Linked DNA regions of Danio rerio. The protein of the gene in region 2 purifies or fractionates together with the protein of the main gene of each other region. This does not show direct contact. Links are inferred from orthologs where the notes say so. Each region holds a gene or a part of one and is shown on either strand. Other genes may lie near its edges.

Region 1 (5,070 bases), on a different chromosome or scaffold from region 2:
TTAAATAACCTCTCGTCACTACCGAGGTATGCAGAAGAGCATCTCTAAATGCACAACGCGTCCAACCTTGAGGCAGGTGGGCTACAGCAGCAGAAGACCACACTAGGTGCCCCTCCTGTCAGTTAAGAACAGGAAACTTACATTTGCACAGGCTCACCAAAATTGGACAATAGAAGATTGGAAAAACGTTGCCTAACGAGTCTTGATTTCTGCTGCAGCATTAGATGGTAGGGTCATAATTTGGCATCAACAACATGAAAGCATGGATCCGTCCTGCCTTGTATCAACGGTTCAGGCTGGTGGTGTAATGGTGTAAGGATACTTTCTTGGGACACTTTGGACCCATTAGTACCAATTGAGCATTGTGTCACTGCCACAGCCTACCTGAGTATTGTTGCTGACCATGTCCGTCCCTTTATGACCACAGTTTACTCATCTTCTGATGGCTACTTCCAGCAGAATAATACGAAATGTCATAAAGCACGAATCATTTTACACTGGTTTCTTGTACATGACAAAACGTTCACTATACTCAAATGGCCTTCACAGTCACCAGATCTCAATCCAATAGAGCACCTTTGGGATGTGATGGAATTGGAGATTCATATCATAGATGTGCAGAAGGCAAAACTGCAGCAACTGCGTGGTGCTATCATGTCAAAATGGACCAAAATCTCTGAGGAATATATCAAGTACATTATTGAATCTATGCCACGAAGGATTAAGGCAGTTCTGAAGGCAAAAGGGGCTCCAACATGGTACTAGTAAGGTGTACTTAATAAAGTGGCCAGTGGGTCTGTCTGTCAGTCTGTCTATAATATTATTTTATTGCATACTTGCCAATTTTTTTATCATTTAACATTTTTAAAACAAGTGCGATGCTCAATATTTTTGTGGTAATACATCATTGTTCAGGGTATAACCTTGAAAAGAACTAAAATCATCTCAAATAGACATCATTTGTAGAATTATAAACATATTTACCATCTCTTGTTAAATACATCCATATTAAAAAACTCTGATGAACAGCGGTGACATTAGTTCATGCCAGTGCATTATATTTTTATATTTCGGAGATAAATATGTTTTTCAAACGGATCAGTGATCAGAACTAAACATGAGCAGTGGTGAAAGAAAAATGGTTGATTTTGCACAGATCACCAAGTTCTTCATATAACAACTCAGAAGCAGGAAACGCTCTTGCAATACCCAAATGATTTAGCAGCCAATAGAATTCAAGTCTGCACCACAAAAACTAAATATACACACAGGCACACAACCACGACTGAAACTCTGACACAAAAGCAATGACAACACACTGAAACTGCAGAATCAAGAACAGCTAACGTGTGGATGTTTCTCTATTAGTACCATCTTCAAGGTGGTGCACTTTTAACATTCAAATAGCAAATGTAAACTTCGAGAAACATCCACAGAGTGCTGTCAGCATCCAGAAAACACGATACCTGTAGGAAGCAGGCAGTCTTTCCAGTCAAAATAACCTGCGTAGATCCCGGTTTCCAGAGAGCCGACGATAGGATCAGACTTCTTCTCGATGTACATCTCAAACAGATCATAATCCAGCTGTCTCAGCGCATCTATGCTGACCTGAAGAACATGTTCAGATTAATCGCAAACCATTGCCCCTTTTCACAGATCATATAAAAAACTATTCTGTAACTGTGATCTGTATTTCAGCTTGTCTTGATTAAGAATCATAATTTTGACCTTCTGTTTAATTGTTCTGAAAATATCTTCTTTCTTTGAGATTTTAAAAAGCATAAGCACAAGTTTTATTTACCTTTTCCTACTGAATTTTTCCTACTGAATTTACTTTCCAACTGAATGAATGATGGTCACTAGAGTTTAGCAGTCTTCACTGCAGTCCTCTGCTCAAATTACAGTGATATACAGTCAGTATTTGTAACTTCACAAAGCCGTTGGTGCTTTTTGCAGATAGTTCATCTGTAATTAATGCCATAAATCCAAACATTAATCTTGACTATCCTCTAAATAAATTTGCTTATGCATCTATTTTTGTGCTACAATTATAAGTAAACTTGAATATAATTTGGAATTATTGGCATTACTATTAGAAACTGTATCAGCTTTTGCAGGAGGCTACTTAAAATTATACCAGTTTTCATAATATAGACCAGGGGGTGTCAAACCTGCCCTGCAGAGTTTAGTTCCAACCCTGCTCCAACACACTCACCTGTAGGTTTCAAACAAGCCTGAAGGATTTAATTAGTATGATCAGGTGTGTTTAATTAGGGCTGGAACTAAACTGTGCAGAGCTGCTGTCCTCCAGAAACTGAGCTTGACACCTGTGATGTAGACAAAGTATAATGTATGATCAATATAATAAATCTGGAAAACAGACGAGGTAAAATAAACCCTCCAAAGATTTAATGTTCTCTTAATTAATAAAAGCACAAAAATTATTATGCAGCCCTACATACTGTACAAGACTCTTTCCTGTAAATGACACTTGAAAAACTATAATCACTAACATCACAAACAATCATCCCCCTTCGCACTCTTCTTGCAGAATGAGTAGAGACCACTCATGCATGTCCATTATTTAGACATGTGCTAAGATTTAGGGACGTTTTCAAAAAAACCAGAATGGAAAGCACCATTTCAATAGGGGACAAACCTCTGGGATCTCATTAAAAGACCAGATATCAACATCTCAATCTTCTTTTCCAAATTATTCAGAAACATTGAAAAGGTCCTGCCCATGCAAAAATAATATGCTGTGCCTGGCTGCCAGAATGCTTCTATTTAATGGTATCAGTGTTTTTATTTTGTAGTGTGCAGCTTTGCAGTTACTAGGGTATGCTAAGTGCTTGCTGCATTTATGTCCACTATGCATAAATATTCTGATCCCTATATGGCACAGATTCCTCACTCAGTGTAAGTTCAGCTTGACTTGTACTTGCCCTTGTTGACTGAGGATACGATACTTAAATGCAAAGACTCAAGGTTTGACATGAGAATTTAAAGAAAAGACTTACTTCTGACTTGCATAAAAACTTAAGAAAAAAAACAAAGAATTTTTTGTAAGCACATACGTTTTTGCATTGTTTTTCAAAAGACCTTATGGTTTGGCTCAGTCCACTCTCATTAACATTAAAAGCACACGCAGGATATTTGTTTGAATTGATATGTGTTTTGTGGTCTGAAAACAAATAAAAAGGCAGGCACACAGCATTGAAACAACCTCAGAGTGAGCAAATAATGACTGATGTTTTATTATTTGTGTGAACTAACCATCTAAACTGCACGATTCTAACATACTTGTAGCACAAAACTATGCACATTTAACAATAATCTATAAGCTGCTGGTTTTTAATAGACAATCAATCTGTAGAATACATCTGTAGCATTCTGCACTACCATTGGTAATTGCTGCATCACTTTAATTTGAATAAAGTTAAGCTGAGTCTCAGAGTGAATCACCATTTAGAGTAAGAGGTGTATGCAAATACTTTAATGCAATGAGACAACTTCTGATAAATGATCAATAAAAAATGTATTTCTCATTTGTATTTACAGAATATTTCATTAATGAACACAAAAGAAGATATTGTGAAGAATGTTGGTAAGCTGACAGTTGAGAGTGCCTGTTGACTTTGATAAGTAACTTCAGAGTAAGCGTAATTTTGGCGTGAACTATCACTTTATTATAAGCAGGTCAGTTTGGGATCAAGCGCTAAAGCTCTTCTATGAGTAATCAAGCTCTTCTATGTGCCACAGCAAGTCTTCTCATCATTACATTCTCTATGATCTTCATCAAAACCATCTGCATTTACTGGAAAGGTAACCATAACCTTTTGCGAGGGCTTCACCCTCTTGGCTGCCGACTGAGTGAGTAGTAATGCCACCACGAAAAACCCTTGAGCTTCTCCTCAGACTGTGTGAGTCATTCTCACTTCAGTAAAAGACAACATCAGCAACAGAACTTAGAAACACATCTGTTAAGGTGCTTAAAACTGTGGACTGAAGTAAAAAAGGGAACAGGAAAGTGTATTTGTACCCTAATGATCTTGTCTGCCATGGTGAAGCCATTCTTCTCCAGGTGCTCTGCTAGATTGAGGAATGTGTGTCTCTCCAGATACTGACAGTTACTGAGAATGATGAGAAGACGCTGTTCCTGCAGAAAATAAAACCCACACACATAAGAAACCAATTCATATTTAACAGTAAGGTAATAATAAGGGGGAGGAAGAACGAGACTACCTGAAAACTACCAGCTTCTAATCATAGGATCTGAGTCAAATGTATTTTTTGTTACAGAAGAGTAAACAATAGTAATCAACAAAAGAAATCTATGTTCGGTGGAATAGCGCTGATCTTTGATCGCAGTTAATGAAAACATTTGTTATTCTGCCCTACTTTTATTTTTGGAAGAAGAAAAAAAATCTAAATGACAATATTTTTAAGTTAATTTGGAAGGAAGGTTATTAAACATTAAATGCATAAAACAAATATTAGCATTTGACTCAAACCCATATTTAATAAATACAGAGAAATTGAGAATTTTCAAGTGGTACTTTATTTATTTATTTCCCCCCCCCATTGTTTTATAATGAATAATATACTATATAGTAGTCAACATTTGAACTGGATCAAACAAAATGATCAAAATAGTTCTCAAATAAGAATGATTGTTGTTTAAAAGTTTAATACAATTTTCATAAACGTTTTTCTTTTCACTTCAAATGTTGTTTGAAACTGTTTGAAACTGTAATTTTTAATAATATTTTTTTGCTTTTTTTAATTGAGCGTATAGACCAGGTGTGGGCAAACCTGATCCTGGAGGGCCGGTGTCCTGCATAGTTTAGCTCCAACCCTATTCAAACAGACCTCCCTATAGAGTTCAAGTGATCTTGAAGACACTGATTAGTTTATTCAGGTGTGTTTGACTAGCGTTGGAACAAAACTCTGCAGGGACACCGGCCCTCGAGGATCAAGTTTGCACAACCCTGGTATAGACCCTTTTCACATATACGGGTTTCTCAGTAACGGAAAATGACACAGTTGGTTAAAGCTGGGTCTTAGAGC
Region 2 (5,070 bases):
CTGTAAATATATATTCATGATATACAGAGTTTCATTTAAAGATTTTAACCTTAATCATGCAAATAGTTAGTACAGAATAGAATGTTTAACATTGTGTCCTTGCCCCCGTTTTTGAAATTAAACTGACTGCAACACTTTTTTTTTAACAAAAAAGGTTTTTTTGAATGTGTTTCTTGTTTGATATAGTAAAACTAGGCAGTCTGTCTGAATCTGACCTTTTCAGGATTGTTGAATACATCACTGCGCAGCTCTCCATCCAGGAACTCGTTAAAGTATGTCATAAGTCTCTGAGCCTCCACTGCCCTCTGTCTCGGGGTATTGACTCCTTCTAGCTGATCTCCCAGATGGCACACCTTAGTAGCCACATAGCTGATATGCTCATCCAACTCCTGGAAGTGCTGGAAGGCTACCTTTGAATCACAAGAAAGTGGAGGTTATACAGTGTACATGTACAGACACATTTACCTTTAGCCCTTTCACTTTCCCCTACACCTCAATACACACGTTCACTTGAAGGAGTGTCCAAATATCTCTTTTGCTTGGATGTATAGGGGTAGGGGTATGTGATATATAGCCCTGCAAATTGAGATTTCTCAGAACCGCATTACAAGCTACACCAGAAAAACATGCTGGAAAAGAGAGCAAGGAGACCAATAAATGTAAAAAGAAATTTTCAAAATGTCAAGTTATTTTTACTGCAAACAAGTATCTGACACACAACATATACAGTCATAATGGTGTTAATGTGCTACGGTCATGATCTTATGTAAAAAAAAAAAAAAAACAACAAAATTAAAAAGGGATCGACTCTTTTAATAACTGTTGCAATTTTAAAATGCATTTAGCAGATGCTTTTATCCAAAGCGACTTACACCCATAAACACATACCAGGGGAGCAGTTGGGGGTTCGGTGCCTTGCTCAAAGGGAATCCCCTCAACCATGGTATTGAGGTGGAGTTTAACACCAACAATCCCTGCTGGTACCGGGACTTGAACCTGCGACTTTTGAATCGCAAGTCCAACTCTCTAACCATTAGACCATGGCTGCCCAGAAAAGTCTGGTGGCAGGAAATTAGCTTTTCTACAGCATGTACGGTACAACATTAATGTTGGTTTTTTTTTGTGGTTAGATCCATACGAGCACTGTGACAATACACACAATACAGTTTTGTGCTTCTTCCAACACGACCCAAGTAACAGGAAAGCCTGAAGTAACCCTGAGGCTCATACACTTTAGAGCTGAAAATGAACAGCTTACTTCCAAACACAATGCAAAAAACTTTTAAGAAAGTCATCTCTTAAACATTACTGTGCTTACACTTCTAAAATGACTACTGCAGACAATAGCTCATGTGATGTATGAGCTAGTGAAGACATACATGTGTGTGTAGTAATAGTAGTAGTAATAGTCGTGTCCCATTTTGTATGGCCCATTTCCACTCAGTGGTGTGGTACGGTACACTATTTCCACAGTCAAAAGGTACCTAAAAGCAAACCGTACCACTTTTTGGGTATTTTTTCAGAAGGGTACCTAGCACAACAAAAGGATCCAGTAGGAGGAACAAGACGTGCACTACCTCGTGGACAAGCAGAAGAATGAAAACAAAGGAAACAAAATTTTTAAATACACAGCTGAGATAATACACCGTAATAATAAAATACATATAATCATGAGCCATGGTTGACCCGAGCTCAAACAAACCTTGTCATCATCTTGATAAACAGCGACATAGCTAAAAGAGCAGAATCCACCCTTTGCCCTGTGGTCGTTTACAAGGCCGTCTAAAATGCGATCGGTTTTGCTTTCTCGATTATTAAAGTGCTTCTGACACCCAATCCTTTCAGGAACAGACAAACGTAAGAGTGATGTGCGAAAAAACAGGAGAAGCCAGAAAAAAATACAAAGAAGCAAATGCTTCTTTCAGCGAACTAAAACATAAACAAACTGCCATGTTTAACTATTATCATCGGCTTTTGGACTATTATGAACTGGAAATGACGAAATTAAATGTGCTGGTAAAGAATAAAGATACAGATGAGAGGTTTGCACTGACTGTGGGCTGTATGTTGTGTGTTGTTTTTGAACCCAAATGAGGACTAAACAATTGTGTGTAGCTTTTCTGTATTTGGTAATATACTGTATCAGAGATTATAAGTGGCTGTATGTGTTCAAATATGTTGCATTTATTTAAATTTTTTTTAATAATTGCAGACATTAAAGTAGGCTATTTTGCCTTATCATTGATATGCAGTTATAATCAAATCATATTCATATTAAGGTTAAGTAATGAACATTTCTACACAAGTATTTATCTGTATAAAGCATCTGTTTTGTGAGATGTGTTTCTTGTATGATATGTGAATGACCCGTACAGCTTTAGTTTGAAATCTCCTAGAGCGAGAATGACATTGAAACTTTCTGTCTTACACCATACCCACCAAATTGGTATTGGTACCCTTTTGGCAGTGGATATGCAAGCCTAATTAAGATGACTGGTCCCATACCATACTGTACCACTCAGTGGAAACGAACCATTAGGGGAATATTTTCATCCCAACCCTTTTACATTCTATTTTAAGGGCCAAGGGGAAGGCGTAGAGGTATAAATCTGAATTAGGCCTTAACGTCATTCATGATAACGTAACACATAGTTACTCAAACACCTATTGACAGGTTAAAAAATAAACAAATGCAAACAAATGTAAAGACGACTGACTTGGTTGCTCCTTTGAAGGTCTTGAACCTTGTGAGCAAACTCCTTGGCTTCACGGTGGCACTGCTGTTCTAACTTCTCCACTTTCCTCTGGATCCTTTCATCCAGCAGTTTTAGTTCCTCAATGTGGTTCACAAACTCTTCCAGCAACCTGGAACAAAAGATTTGACATTAAAGAGCTGCAGGCAGCAAAAGACAATTTCTGACTTAACAAGCATTTATATTACTTTAAACACTTTAAAGCAAATATGAACCTACAGTTCAATTTGTGGCATTACGTTTTTTCCCCTGAAGTCCATTTACAATGTCATATTTGCAGCAAAAACCTAATTATGTGTCACAACACTTCTATATTCTAAAACGTAAAAGTGTGCCAACAGACACAAAGTACATGAATGCAATATTACCACTATCATTTATTATTACATACATGTCCCATAAGCCTTACAAGTTGGCTTAAACATAACATTTAGGTTTGCTTTGTAACTAATGAACATGGGTGAAAAGGGATTTAGTAAATCTGGTTGGTCAGTGCAATTTTTTTTGGAACATTTTTTGTGGTTTAGACTCATGATGTAAAAGAAGAATGTTTTGGAAGGTTTAGTAAGATTTTGTTAAGAAATAATTATATTTAAACAAGACACATTAAATAAAGTCTTTGATAAACAAAATACTATTAAATACTATATGGATTTGGTCACACTATTAATAGGATGAGCAAAATGTAACATTATTAATTTGAGACAATACAAAAAACATTTAATTGATTTAAACAGTCAGATTTTCTTTAAGAAAATGTACACTTTTTTCAAAATTTTAAACAGTTTTAGTAACCAATTACAAAATGCATTTCTTCAGTTGTTACAATGATGATAGTAGATAATATTTTACTATACATGTTGCAAGACATTAGTATACTGCAGAGATGCCCCAAGTAGGGCCCGCAGAACAAAGTTGGCCCATGCTATCTTTTTTTTTTTATACTTTAATTTTATTTCTTTTAAGGAGATACAAAAAGTAGGTTAAAAAATAAAAATAAAATTAAGTAAATAATACAATAAAGCACCAGAACTTAAATGAACGGTTGACAGGTCACATATTTCCTTACAGGTCACATGAACAAATACATATATAAATCAGATTATACTGTGTAAAGGCATAAGTACAATCCATTTCTCCCAATATTGCAGGTATTTATCCATTTGTAGTTTTAAAGAAAAAGTAATCCGTTCCATATTTTGAACAATAGATATGGTATCCAACCATTCAGATTTTGTAGGGGGTTCCAATTGTAGCCACTTTCGAGTCACAGTTTTCTTACTGGTTGCTAGGAGTATTTTTAATAAGTACTTGTCTTTTGGCCCATGCTATCATTTGATTTGACCCACCGTCCCATCTGAGAAGAGAGGGAGAATGATGGAGAGGTGGTCGGGGCAAATATTTTGAACAGAGATCATCATTTTAAATTTAATGCAACCTTCTGTTTGTTCTGTAATCTGTTTTGTTTCTGATTTTTTTAATGTAAATACGGTCACTCGATGGAAGGTGGAAATTGCACAAGATATCGTCAAAAAACTCAAGGCAAAGGCATGTGCAGCTTAGTTTATTCAGTGTTATAATTGGGATTGTTGATGTTTTTACTGTAATAAATTCATTATAATTGATTTTTATGACACTGTATTAGTTAATACAATTTTAAAGCAATGTTTTCTAGTTATTTTTAAAAACTAGGAAATTACTCATGAAAACTTTGATGTAATACAGTTTGGTATATTTACCTTCGGACCACAGACCTCTGTCAAGTTCAGTTTTTGGCCTTTTATAAGAAAAAAGTTTGGGCACTCCTGGTATAGAGCTTTAAGTGCAATTTAAAGGCTTAACCACGTTAATTAATTTAATTTAACTAGGCAAGTTCAGGTAATTAGGAAGTCAATAGATTACAGCAGTTTGTTCTGTAGCCAAACAAACTTTGCCGACTTTGATCAGACTTTGAAGAAGGAAATATTATAGGAAATACTGTGAGAAATTGCATTGCTCTTTTAAACTTCACTTGGCAAATATTTTTTTAAAGAATTAAAACTTTATAGGAGTGCTAATCACATTGTCTTTAGCTGTATGTGGTGTCAAATGCATTTCCAAATAAGTATAAAATTATAATATTGTAATAGCTAATGAAACTTCAAGCAAACTGCAAGTAGAAAAACACATAATCATAAAAACTATGTATTTTCACAGTGTTCAGATACTTTTAGATGCCTCTATAAGCTGAAAATGGCTCAGATGGGCTATAGGGATAGCTATAGCCAAAATAAAAGGAGAACTGCTGACAAAGTAGATTTGAACCAGAACTCTGAAG
Region 3 (5,758 bases), on a different chromosome or scaffold from region 2:
AATCAAGCAAAAAGTGAAATTAAAACTTTTAATAATAATAATAATAATCAGTGATGCAGTAGGTAGTGCTGTCGCCTCACAGCAAGAAGGTCGCTGGTTCGAGCTTCGGGTGGGTCAGTTGGCATTTCTGTGTGGAGTTTGCATGTACTCCCTGCCTTCGCGTGGGTTTCCTTCGCGTGCTCCGGTTTCCCCCACAGTCTAAAACAGGTGAATTGGGTAGGCTAAATTGTCTGTAGTGTACGAGTGTGAATGAGTGTGTATGGATGTTTCGCAGACATGGGTTGCAGCTGAAGGGCATCCGCTGCGTAAAACATGGATAAAACATGCGTGGACAAATTGGCGGTTCATTCCGCTGTGGCGACCCCGATTAATAAAGGGACTAAGCCGAAAAGAAAATGAATGAATAATAATAATAATAATAAACCATTGAATAGGTGATCACTAACCCTTCCCGGATGATCTTGTCAGTGTCTTTGGCCACGTGATAGTAGCTGATGACGTGATCCATGTTGGACAGTGTTTTATCCACATTCTCCTGCAGCCGCTGCAGATTCTCCGTCTGCTTGTGAACCGGGATGATGGAGTTTTCCAGCTGCATCAGACGACTCTCAAATGACGACAGGATGGACACCTTAAACAAATTAAAACACACGTTCACCATTTCATTCACAAATACCAACCACAAAATAATACTTACAATGGATATATTAGGAAAAAAGCTACTTGTAAAACAAATATCACTGTACAACACTGCTGAGCACTGACTTTACATGATCGAACCAGAATGACACACTAGTGTTATTCACATTTATACAACAGTTCTTTCTGGTTCTTCAATCTGATTGGCTGAGTAGTGGCACGAGTGGCAAGGAGGACAACAGTTTGACAAATACTGCAGCTGTTGGACAACATAATGTACTTTTGAGCCTTTTTAGGCGAGAATGTAGTTGTTGTGATTGCAACTATGCAGTTTATTTATAAGGATAGTGCCTATTTAAATATTTTGAATTTAAGAGCATGCAGATTCAACACGTTGGCAGTCATCAGCCTGTCATACTGAGCAGAGCAAAGACGGTTGACGTTCCTTTTACCCTAATAAATAGACCTAATAATTAGCCCTTAGGTGTTAGCATATATTTCAAACTAAAGCTAAACAAATCTTTACAGAACAGCCAAGTGACTTTCTAAGTCAATCTCTCTTTTGTTTGTTGTATTGCTCTATTTATACCATAGTAATCTGGTAGTGTTTGCTTTGCTTTGGTTTTTTCGGGGTTAATTACAGTGATCTCCCAATTGCAATAGAGAAATACTGGGAGATATCTTTGTAGACTGATGGCATTTCATGCCGTTCAGCTTTATAATCTTAAAATGTGTGCAAAATCAGCTGTTTTGTCATCACTTTAGACATTACGCAAGAGAATCACTCAAACACTAGCTCTAAAGTGACGTTGGTGAATGAGCAGCGGTTTCTACTGTTCTGACGTCAGCTGCAGATGTGAATAAACGGCGGAAGAAAGTAGTTCCTCATACAAAAGGATTTTTGAAACTCTCCATGTCGAATTCTCTTTTGTTATATACACAATTATGCGGTTGAACTGTTGTATAAATGCAATATCACACTCATAGCAGTGTGGTATGGCTGTATATCATGTGACATTAAGATACTCTGTCTGCGGCCTTGAGCCAACACACGCCTCCTACCAGTGCCAATATACAGCCATATCACACTGCTATGAGTGTGATATCACTCATATAAATATAAATCTCTCACCATTCCTTTAGTGAGCTGATCACTCTTCTCCAGGCTTTCACGGATAAAAGAAAGCGTTTCTTGCTCCTGTAGATGATAGATACAATGAACAGGTCAAGACATGTGTTTTTTATTAGTGCTTTATGTTGTTTGTATAGTGTTTTAGTTAAATTCATATAGCAGGATAAAATGGTTTTTGGTTATGAAATTTGCATCTGTGAATATGGTACTTTCTAAATATTATCAAGAAATTATTAACATAAGTTTTCTTCTCTATTTTTTTTTTGTTGTAGTTCAAAAACCCAAATATAATATGTTGCTATTCTAAACGGAAATTTGTCAATAATTTGTCATTTATGAAATTGGTCATTTATCTCGTACCCTATTTTCTTCGATAACTGGCAATTCCAAAACATCTGCGGCACAGTTTCTGGCTGTGATAAACAAACTGAACAGTTTTGATCTATATTATGTCTAAACATTGAAAGAAAATGTTTGACAGGGTAAAATATATTCAGAATTTTAAATGAGACCTCTTTAAATTTGTTTGTAATAAATAATTTGTTAGGCAACGACCATAATTTTTTCCAATTTAAATCTCTGATGAACGCAGACCAATGAGAAATTATCTAGGGTTTACTATTTATGAGTGAATGAAATAATGAACGTATGGCCTTATTTTGGTGAGAAGAAAAACAAATTTTCCCACATAGTGTATCTTTAGGGTGTAACAGAGATATTTCCTGAATATGAGTAACCTTCACAGAGTGAAACAATACATAGGGGAATAGCAGCAAAGACCATTGCAAATTCTATTTAGGACACAGGAAAATTAAAATGTGATAAAAATTCATTAAGTAACCTTGGGAATTTAGTACCTGTCCCACCAAAAAAATTCCTTTTCAAAACAATTTTTTAAGAACAAGCTTTTATGTTTGTACAAAATTACTGTTTACATTTTGTATGCTTGAGATGTATGCAAATTACGTCATTATTTAATTAATTACTCATTTATATGACACAAAAAAACTTGTAATCGAAAAATGTTTGCAACTCTTAATGTTATCAATCAGCTGGGTGTTGATTTCCCTACTCTTTTCACCTGCAGTGTCTTGCTTAATAACACATTTTGTACGCCCCAACAGCTTATTTTATCTCTATTATTCAGCTTTCAATAATCTTTGTGACAGGCAAACAAGCAGATATGACGCTAGTTAAATCGCAAATGACATAAATAACACTGTCAGATCACGGGATTCTCATGTTATGCTTCATTCTTCCCGTTTTTCCTCTGTTTAACAGACCTGTTTGAGTTTCTCCTCAATCTCCCGCTTTCTGGCGGACGCGTCTTCGGTTGGGATCATCCTGATGGTCAGAAACACGATGGAAAATACAACTGGACCGTCCGGACCAATGTAAAATACACAATAATATTACAACATTAACCCGAAGACAGCGATAAACAACACGACACAAACGGAAGCCAGTGAAGTACAAAATAAAAGTCCTTTCTGAACCAAGTGTATCAAATGAAACAGAAGCAAAACAATATTCACTATTAAAAAGAAATACATATATGACGACAAAAAGGTAAAAAGTGTACTTAAATGAAGTGCGGCAGGAATTTATAACTACTAAAATGACAAGAAACATAGTGATATTCAATTTATATACAGTATTTATAACGCAACTGTATATACTTATATTATACATATTACCAAATTGTAGTAACATACACAGTAAAATTACATATTATAAATGCATATTTTTTTACGATTATAACAATTTATTATCAATTCAAGTTTCTCAAAATCTTCGAGACTGAAGTTGTTAGGGATATATTTAGTTAACGACTACTAAATATATGTATTCATAAGATCTTAATTTTTATAATATCCTTACCAAACAAAATTATATACAAAATAAAGTTGAATAAAGACATACACTAAATCAAAACACATGAACGCATACACCTTTAACCATGCACCAAGCAACGCTTTAATCACGAGTGCTTTCAAAATCCATGGGACTCTTATTTTGATGAAAAAACCTGATGGTGTGATAGTTGCTTCACCTTCACTGTCTGGTCAGAGATTTAGGGAGGCTCCTGCTGTCAGATTGTCCTACCTCCCATTCAAAAAGTAGGTAGTATGCAACCCATCAGATTTTGCTATAAGTGTAAATGTTAATGTGGAGCAGTGTCATATGAAGCTGTAATATCACCCTAACCTACCTAATCCCTAACCCCAATCTCAGAACCATTCAAACACAGTGTTGGTAGCATATTCTGACAAGTAGGATAAAATGTCAGGACACTCTCTTTATTTTTTCATTCACTCAATATGACACAATCATAAACTTTCATAAAGCACACAATCTCCCCTTCCTCCAAAAATAATTTACAGCAGTATATAAATATGTACATCTGTCAACAAAACAGAAGCGTAATGCATGGTGTCATGCAACGTTAAGTAACAAAACACTCTGTTAAGTTCATTATTTAAAAAAAAACATAATATAAAGTTAAAGATATCTATAAATGTTAAAGAATTAGTTAACAGGTTGTGATTGTTACACTACAAGGAAAAAAAAAACCACAATTCAGCCAAGTGACCCTTTTAGCTCACTTAATATCAGTCTGTTTTATAAAATAACATAATAAAAGTTCACTGATGAGTGATTTCTCAAGGTCTGCTCCTTTTTAAGACTCCTCTTGTTTTGTGAAAGCCTGCAATAAACATAAACAACGTCACGTACTTTTTCATTAAACTAGGATGATTTGAAGAAGATATTTAAGATGACTTGTAATAATAAGTCACAGACCTGTTTCAGAAACTGCCTTCCGAAGTAATTTGTTGCCATGTTCTTCAGGTTTGTTCGGGCTCCTACTTTACAGCGCACATATCCGTACAGATTAGCTCCCTGTAACACCACACCCAAAATCACCACCGCCTGAAAGAGAAAGCAACGTTACTCACAGACACTCACATATTCAAGACCACATGAGTTCATACACAATCAGATATAAATTGTATTTATTTATAGTAGGGCTGCACGATATTGGAAAAATCTGATATTGCAATACTGTATTTTAGACAGCTAGAATAAAAGCAGTTATTAATTTTTTAAACACCATTTTAAGGACAATATTATAAGACCCTTTAAGCTATATATTTTTTTGATAGTCTCCACAGATCAAACCACTGTTATACAATAACTTGCCTAATTACCCTAACTTGCCTAGTTAACCTAATTAACCTAGTTAAGCCTTTAAATGTCACTTTAAGCTGTTTAGAAGTGTCTTGAAGAATATCTAGTCTAATATTATTTACTGTCATCATGGCAAAGATAAAATAAATCAGTTATTAGAAATGAGTTATTAAAACTATTATGATTAGAAATGTGTTGGAAAAATAATCTCCTCGTCAAACAGAAATTGGGGGAAAATATAAAAAGTGGGGCGAATAATTGTGACTTCATTTTACATTTACATTTAGTCATTTAGCAGACGCTTTTATCCAAAGCGACTTACAAATGAGGACAAGGAAGCAATTTACACAACCAAGAGCAACAATGAATAAGTGCTGTAGGTAAGTTTCAGGTCTGTAAAGTCTAAGAAGGGAAGTATAAGTAGTATTAGTATTTTTTTTTTTTTTTTTTTTTTTGGTACAGTTAGTGTGATATTCAAAGAGGCAATTACAGATTAGGAAGTGTAGTGGAGACTAAATAGTTGAGTTTTTAGTCGTTTCTTGAAAGTAGCGAGTGACTCTGCTGTTCTGATGCAGTTAGGGAGTTCATTCCACCAACTGGGCAGATTGAGCGTGAGCGTTCGCGAAAGTGATTTCTTCCCCCTTTGGGATGGAACCACGAGGCGACGTTCTTTCACAGAAGGCAAGTTTCTGGCGGGCACATAGATCTGCAGAAGCGAGAGCAGATAAGAAGGAGCAAAGCCAGAAGTCGCTTTGTAGGCAAACATCAGAGTTTTGAATTTGATGCGAGCAGCAACTG
Region 4 (5,070 bases), on a different chromosome or scaffold from region 2:
CTTTACATTTTGTGCCTTTAACCCTGCATTGCTGTCTGGTGTGATACAATGCAGGATGTTATGGCTAGAAGTTTAGCAATCACAGCTTAGCAAAAGCCAATCACGTCTGATATTCACATGCCTTAAATGGTCATAGAAACAATTTGCATTGTATCAAAAATGTCAAATGGCGAGGGAACTATCGAAAAGGAGACCTCTTAATACACTTAATACTCTTAATACTTTTTATAGTCTGAAAAGTCATTTTATAGTGGCCTGCAATATATAATGAGGTGGTCTTTTATGTTAAAAGGTTGCTTGCTTCATTTTCCAATCAGTAAAACTGATGCTACAAATATGTAAGTACATACACTTACCTCATGTTTAGGAATGTTCATTTTGAGACATCAAAAACGAAATTATCAGGATTAATAGTTAACCCAAACTCTGGTTAAATTATGACAGTTGTCATGTGAAAAAAAACACACTGGTTTGCCCTTGCCAGGATGAGGTAAGACTTTTAAGAGTGAATCCCACATAAACAAGGGATAGTTCACCCAAAAATAAAACTTTCTGTCCTCATTTACTTGTTCCAAACCCATTTGAGTTTTTTTTACTTGCGTTAAAGACAAAAAAAAGATATTGTGAGGAATGTAGGAAACATTTGCAAACAAACACAGCAATTTTGAGGCTCACCACAACATGACGGTTTTCCCCGCCCACCGGATTGACATTTGCCATGTCTCCACAATAACACGTATACACGTCTACAGAACATTTATTGCAAATAAACTGGGATTAAAATTTGTTTCAAGTCTCTATGAACAGCTGCACCTCAATAAATAATTTTATAAGTTTGAAACATTTTTTAAACAGAGCGTGTTTGTAATAAGGCTTAAATAAACTCCACCATAAATACATCAAATAAACTTAGTTGGTAATTTTAACTAGTGATCTTATTTCAGCTTCATCCGAGTCTGTCTCCATCACTGACAGCTGTTTAACTGACGTAAAGTGGAGCGGTGGGTCGGAAGAAGCAGCTCATTTGAATTCAAAGCCTCAGGCACCAAAGCCACTTAGACACCAAAATGGGCAGATTCTGGAGGCTATAATAATTAATCTGGAGGGTATTTTGAGCTAAAACTTTATAGACACAAAAGTCTTCTCTTACAAAAAGGGTAAAATAGGAGCCCTTTAAAGTTTTACAGTATATTATTTCACTGTCATACAATGGAAAACAATGGCTCAATAATACAGTGTGAAAAAACTCTCAAAAAAGTCAGTGGCTACAGATTTCCAAAATTCTTCAGAAATACTTTCTTTTCTTTTTAACAGAAAGAAGAAACTCAAACCGGGTTGCAAACACTCGAGGGTGCATAAATTAGATGATTTCTTTAATAAAAAATGTAAACGTTTATAATGCAAACATGTTTAAGTTTTCTAATTAAATTCTTGCGGTAGATAAAATACTGCTCATTCCAGATTGCGATAAAGATTTTTTCCTCACATTGAGTTTCTCTAGCGGTTGACCAAGTGAGTTGATGACGTAGGACTGCAGGTGTTCGGTGTATTTCTGCTTGGCCTCCTTTCTCTCTGCCTCCAGACAGGAGATCTTGAGGCTGGACAGTGTTGAGAAGATGTGGTGAAAGTTCTCCATCATCACCACATCGCGTGGAGTCTTCTGGCTCTCATTGGCCACTTTCTCCACTATTCAAAAACAAAACAGACAAATCAGATATGAAAGAAGACTGAAGAACTGCAACATTCAACATCTGAACCTGATTTTTAAAATTACAAAAGCACATAAACAATTACTAAAAGTCTTTACAAATTTAAACAAATAACTATATATAATATTTAATGTTTTCATTTTCCCATTATTTTTTAAAAGTAGCATATTAAAAGGACAATATATTATTTTCATCACTAGAGGGTGCATTTTCACAACAAACAAAGGCGTAGTTTTATGACACTGTGACTTTGTGTTGAATCATTGCAGCTGTTGTCTTCATTACATGGATAAGATAAAGTATCCAAAACTTATTATCATGGGATATGACGCAGAATAAGGCTAAAAGCAGTCAAAGGAAAACAAAAGCACTGAACTAATTGCTGATGTAAAACGAACATGATGCGGCACAAAAGAAGAGACGTTTTATTATGCCATAGTATACTGCGTCCAGTTCTTCTGGTTGTGATAATGTGGGGAAAAAGTAGTGCTGTTTTATCATACTAAATACCAAAGTTGGGTGTAACGCATTCCATAGTAGCACATTACTGTATTCAAATTACAATTTTGGGGAATGCATTAATGTAACGAATTACATTTTAAATTTGTGTTATTTAATTACAGTGATTAAACTCAATGGCACTGCATTAGGATACAAACACAGTCTTTAGAAGAAAAAAATGCTTCTTTTAAATCCGTTTTCTGCTGTAACATCTGTTAATAAGCATTCGCTTTTAAAAAGCTTGAGAAAGCAAATTGAAATGGCTGCTACATACTGCTTCAAGTGGAAATACAGACATTACTTTGATTTCATTGAGGCTAAAAACAAGTCTATGCCCAGAACTTTCCACTGCTTTTAATTCGACCAGCAACTTGTTCAAGCGCTTGAATAGAAACCATTCTATGACAATACTCGTCATCAAGGAACACACTGGACAACTCGGCCTAAACAAATTGAATTTTTGTGCAGGATCGGGAGTGAAGGCATCTTATGAATGTAAAGAGAAAACTAACTGCTTATGGGGCCGTTCACATATCGTGTTTTTTTCCAAGTTCATTTTTCCAATGGAAGCGGCGGATTGCGCACAAATATTCTGAGCATTTTTTCCAGGCGCACCAGATGAAAACCAAGAGTCACGCTACAAGAACTGACCGATCAGTCCTATGCTTTGTTTCATATATCCATTTTTCTAGTTTTCAGAAACAAAAAAAGACAAACATGTTCGAAACAAGTGAATGATGAGAGAATTTTAAGTTGAGTGAACTCTTAAAGTCTTTTGAATATGTCAAGCTTCTTTGATCAACCCACTGTAATGTTTTTCAGTGAATAATAAATTACTGAAAGAGCTGCAGTTTATTTTGGATTTTTATAGGTATATTTTATATGTTTTAAATGCAACTTCAAAGTAGAGCTGGGCGATATGGCAAAAAAAATTAGCACGATAATTTTTTTCATATCAGTCGATATCGATATTTATCTCAATAAATGTAAAATCTTTATATCTATCAATTATATAAGATTTTCAGCCTGCCAATGGCTTTGTGCAGCTGATTTAACACAATTAGTGAAATGTTTTAGCTGTCTGACAATATAAATAATAAACAAAATAACAATCTTAATTCAGCATTTACTTGTTCAAGTTTTCAACAACCAAAGACATTACCTACAAGTTATTGGATATTATTTTTCAACATCAGAAAAAAAAAAATATTTGGAACAACGTGAGTTAAAAGTCACATAATTTTCAGTTTTGGATTAACTCATTTTAATGGTGAATATGGTGAATTTAGGGTGAAATATACATTAATGTATTTTATTTAGGGATGCTAATGATTACTTGATCTATTGTCGATAAAGCTTTAATTGATAGACCTTATCGATGACTGATTAAGCATGAACATGTAAAGGTTTAGTTATGCTTTGCGCTGAGACGCATCCACGCATTACATCATCAAATGTGTGCAGTTTACCTTACTTATGCTGTCACTCTCTTGACATCCCATATTGCAGGTCGCATAAAACCTTGTTATGCGCATATCTCCGATATATCCGCGCGTATTTTAACCAAATTTGTCTGACAGACAAATTCTCATTTTACAAATCGTGCATCACAACGAAAACATGCGGGGAGCCAGCCGGGGAGCCTCTCCATTAACACAGCGAGCTTCTGAGCTCCATCCAAGTTTATTCTTCCGAGGTAACCCAAAAAATCTATCAGTGCTGCGAAAAGACTGTCCAGTTCATGCTGCTCAGACTGCGATTAGTTAATGAATTAAAATGAAACCGTGAAAATAGTTTGATGGATTGTTTTGGCGCTGAAGCATATAGCAGGCTTGTGTTAAAGCGCTTCAACTTAAATGTTATTCGTTCCTCTTGTTTATGCTGTAGATATGACCAACAAAATATACATCAAAATTAAGTTACACATTATACAAAACGAAATTCGTTACAAAAAGATATATTTCCTTGAAAATGTGTTTATATTTATTTAGTTCGTGCCCGCCTTAAACAACTGCGGGTGAATGATGCTTCGCTCGTTCAGTGAAAAAAATTTATTTAATTAATGATCCACTGCTGTTGTAAACGTCTGTCATATATTTGCTGCATTTATAAGCAAGCATCAAGTGTTCATTGAGATGTGATTGAGATTGTGTCGTCTGTCATGTCTTGCGTCTGTCCTCCCCCGTGGGGGGGGGGGGGGGGGGGGGGAGGGGGGTTCTCGTAGCACGGCTTTCGAAAACAATGAAATGAGACTCTGCTGGGTAGCTGCGCTGGTTTGCCAACACTTGTTAATGTCTGTAATTTCTTAGCATCTTTATAAGGGTGGTCTTGTTTTACATGGTGAAACAGGTCGTGGTGTTGCCTGCATTTGATGACACGAGTCATCTAAGCAGTTTGCGGTGCACGTTGCTCTGTTTTGTGTCGGATAGCGAAAACTAAGTAGCACATGAAGTCTAGTGATGTTTCTTATCAACAATGTCTGTGACTCTGACCTTTTTTACCTTATTTCTTTCTTATTCCTTTCAGTGCAACTAACACTGTATGGCTGTAAACTTGTACGGCGTGTGGCATCCGGAAGGGCAGGCTGCAAAATCCTTGCGCAACGTTACGCATAGTGTGTAAATATTATCGAGCAATTATCGAACTGTCATTATCGTTTTATCGAAAAATTTTATATCGTGATAATTATCGATATCGAATAATCGCCCAGCCCTACTTCAAAGTAAAGTAATTAGTATTCTGATTACTTTTTACATGAAGGAATTAGTAATGTAATTAGATGAGAATTTTCCAGTAGTCAGTAATTTGTAATCTATTACTTTTTTAAAGTAACTTACCCAACACTGCTAAATACATATTA

The links.
Region 1: the proteins of exoc5 (region 2) and exoc2 fractionate together in Homo sapiens (co-fractionation; 4 studies listed by BioGRID and IntAct, with this or other methods). This does not show direct contact. The link is inferred for Danio rerio from reciprocal best matches to the Homo sapiens genes EXOC5 and EXOC2.
Region 3: the proteins of exoc5 (region 2) and exoc7 fractionate together in Homo sapiens (co-fractionation; 4 studies listed by BioGRID and IntAct, with this or other methods). This does not show direct contact. The link is inferred for Danio rerio from reciprocal best matches to the Homo sapiens genes EXOC5 and EXOC7.
Region 4: the proteins of exoc5 (region 2) and exoc1 purify together in Homo sapiens (affinity purification with mass spectrometry; 4 studies listed by BioGRID and IntAct, counting the BioPlex papers as one, with this or other methods). This does not show direct contact. The link is inferred for Danio rerio from reciprocal best matches to the Homo sapiens genes EXOC5 and EXOC1.

What each region holds. Positions count from the first base shown.
Region 1 is NC_133195.1:29,290,650-29,295,719, forward strand, and holds part of exoc2 (exocyst complex component 2), read right to left. Parts: intron 4,833-5,070; exon of another isoform or gene 4,412-4,832; intron 4,160-4,411; coding exon 4,043-4,159; intron 1,609-4,042; coding exon 1,467-1,608; intron 1-1,466. UniProt on the Homo sapiens protein: Component of the exocyst complex involved in the docking of exocytic vesicles with fusion sites on the plasma membrane.
Region 2 is NC_133192.1:49,417,337-49,422,406, forward strand, and holds part of exoc5 (exocyst complex component 5), read right to left. Parts: intron 2,866-5,070; coding exon 2,718-2,865; intron 411-2,717; coding exon 216-410; intron 1-215. UniProt on the Homo sapiens protein: Component of the exocyst complex involved in the docking of exocytic vesicles with fusion sites on the plasma membrane.
Region 3 is NC_133187.1:48,856,982-48,862,739, reverse strand, and holds the start of exoc7 (exocyst complex component 7), read right to left. Parts: upstream 3,225-5,758; 5' UTR 3,115-3,224; coding exon 3,055-3,114; intron 1,890-3,054; exon of another isoform or gene 1,838-1,889; coding exon 1,772-1,837; intron 632-1,771; coding exon 447-631; intron 1-446. UniProt on the Homo sapiens protein: Component of the exocyst complex involved in the docking of exocytic vesicles with fusion sites on the plasma membrane.
Region 4 is NC_133195.1:28,538,331-28,543,400, forward strand, and holds part of exoc1 (exocyst complex component 1), read right to left. Parts: intron 1,687-5,070; coding exon 1,487-1,686; intron 1-1,486.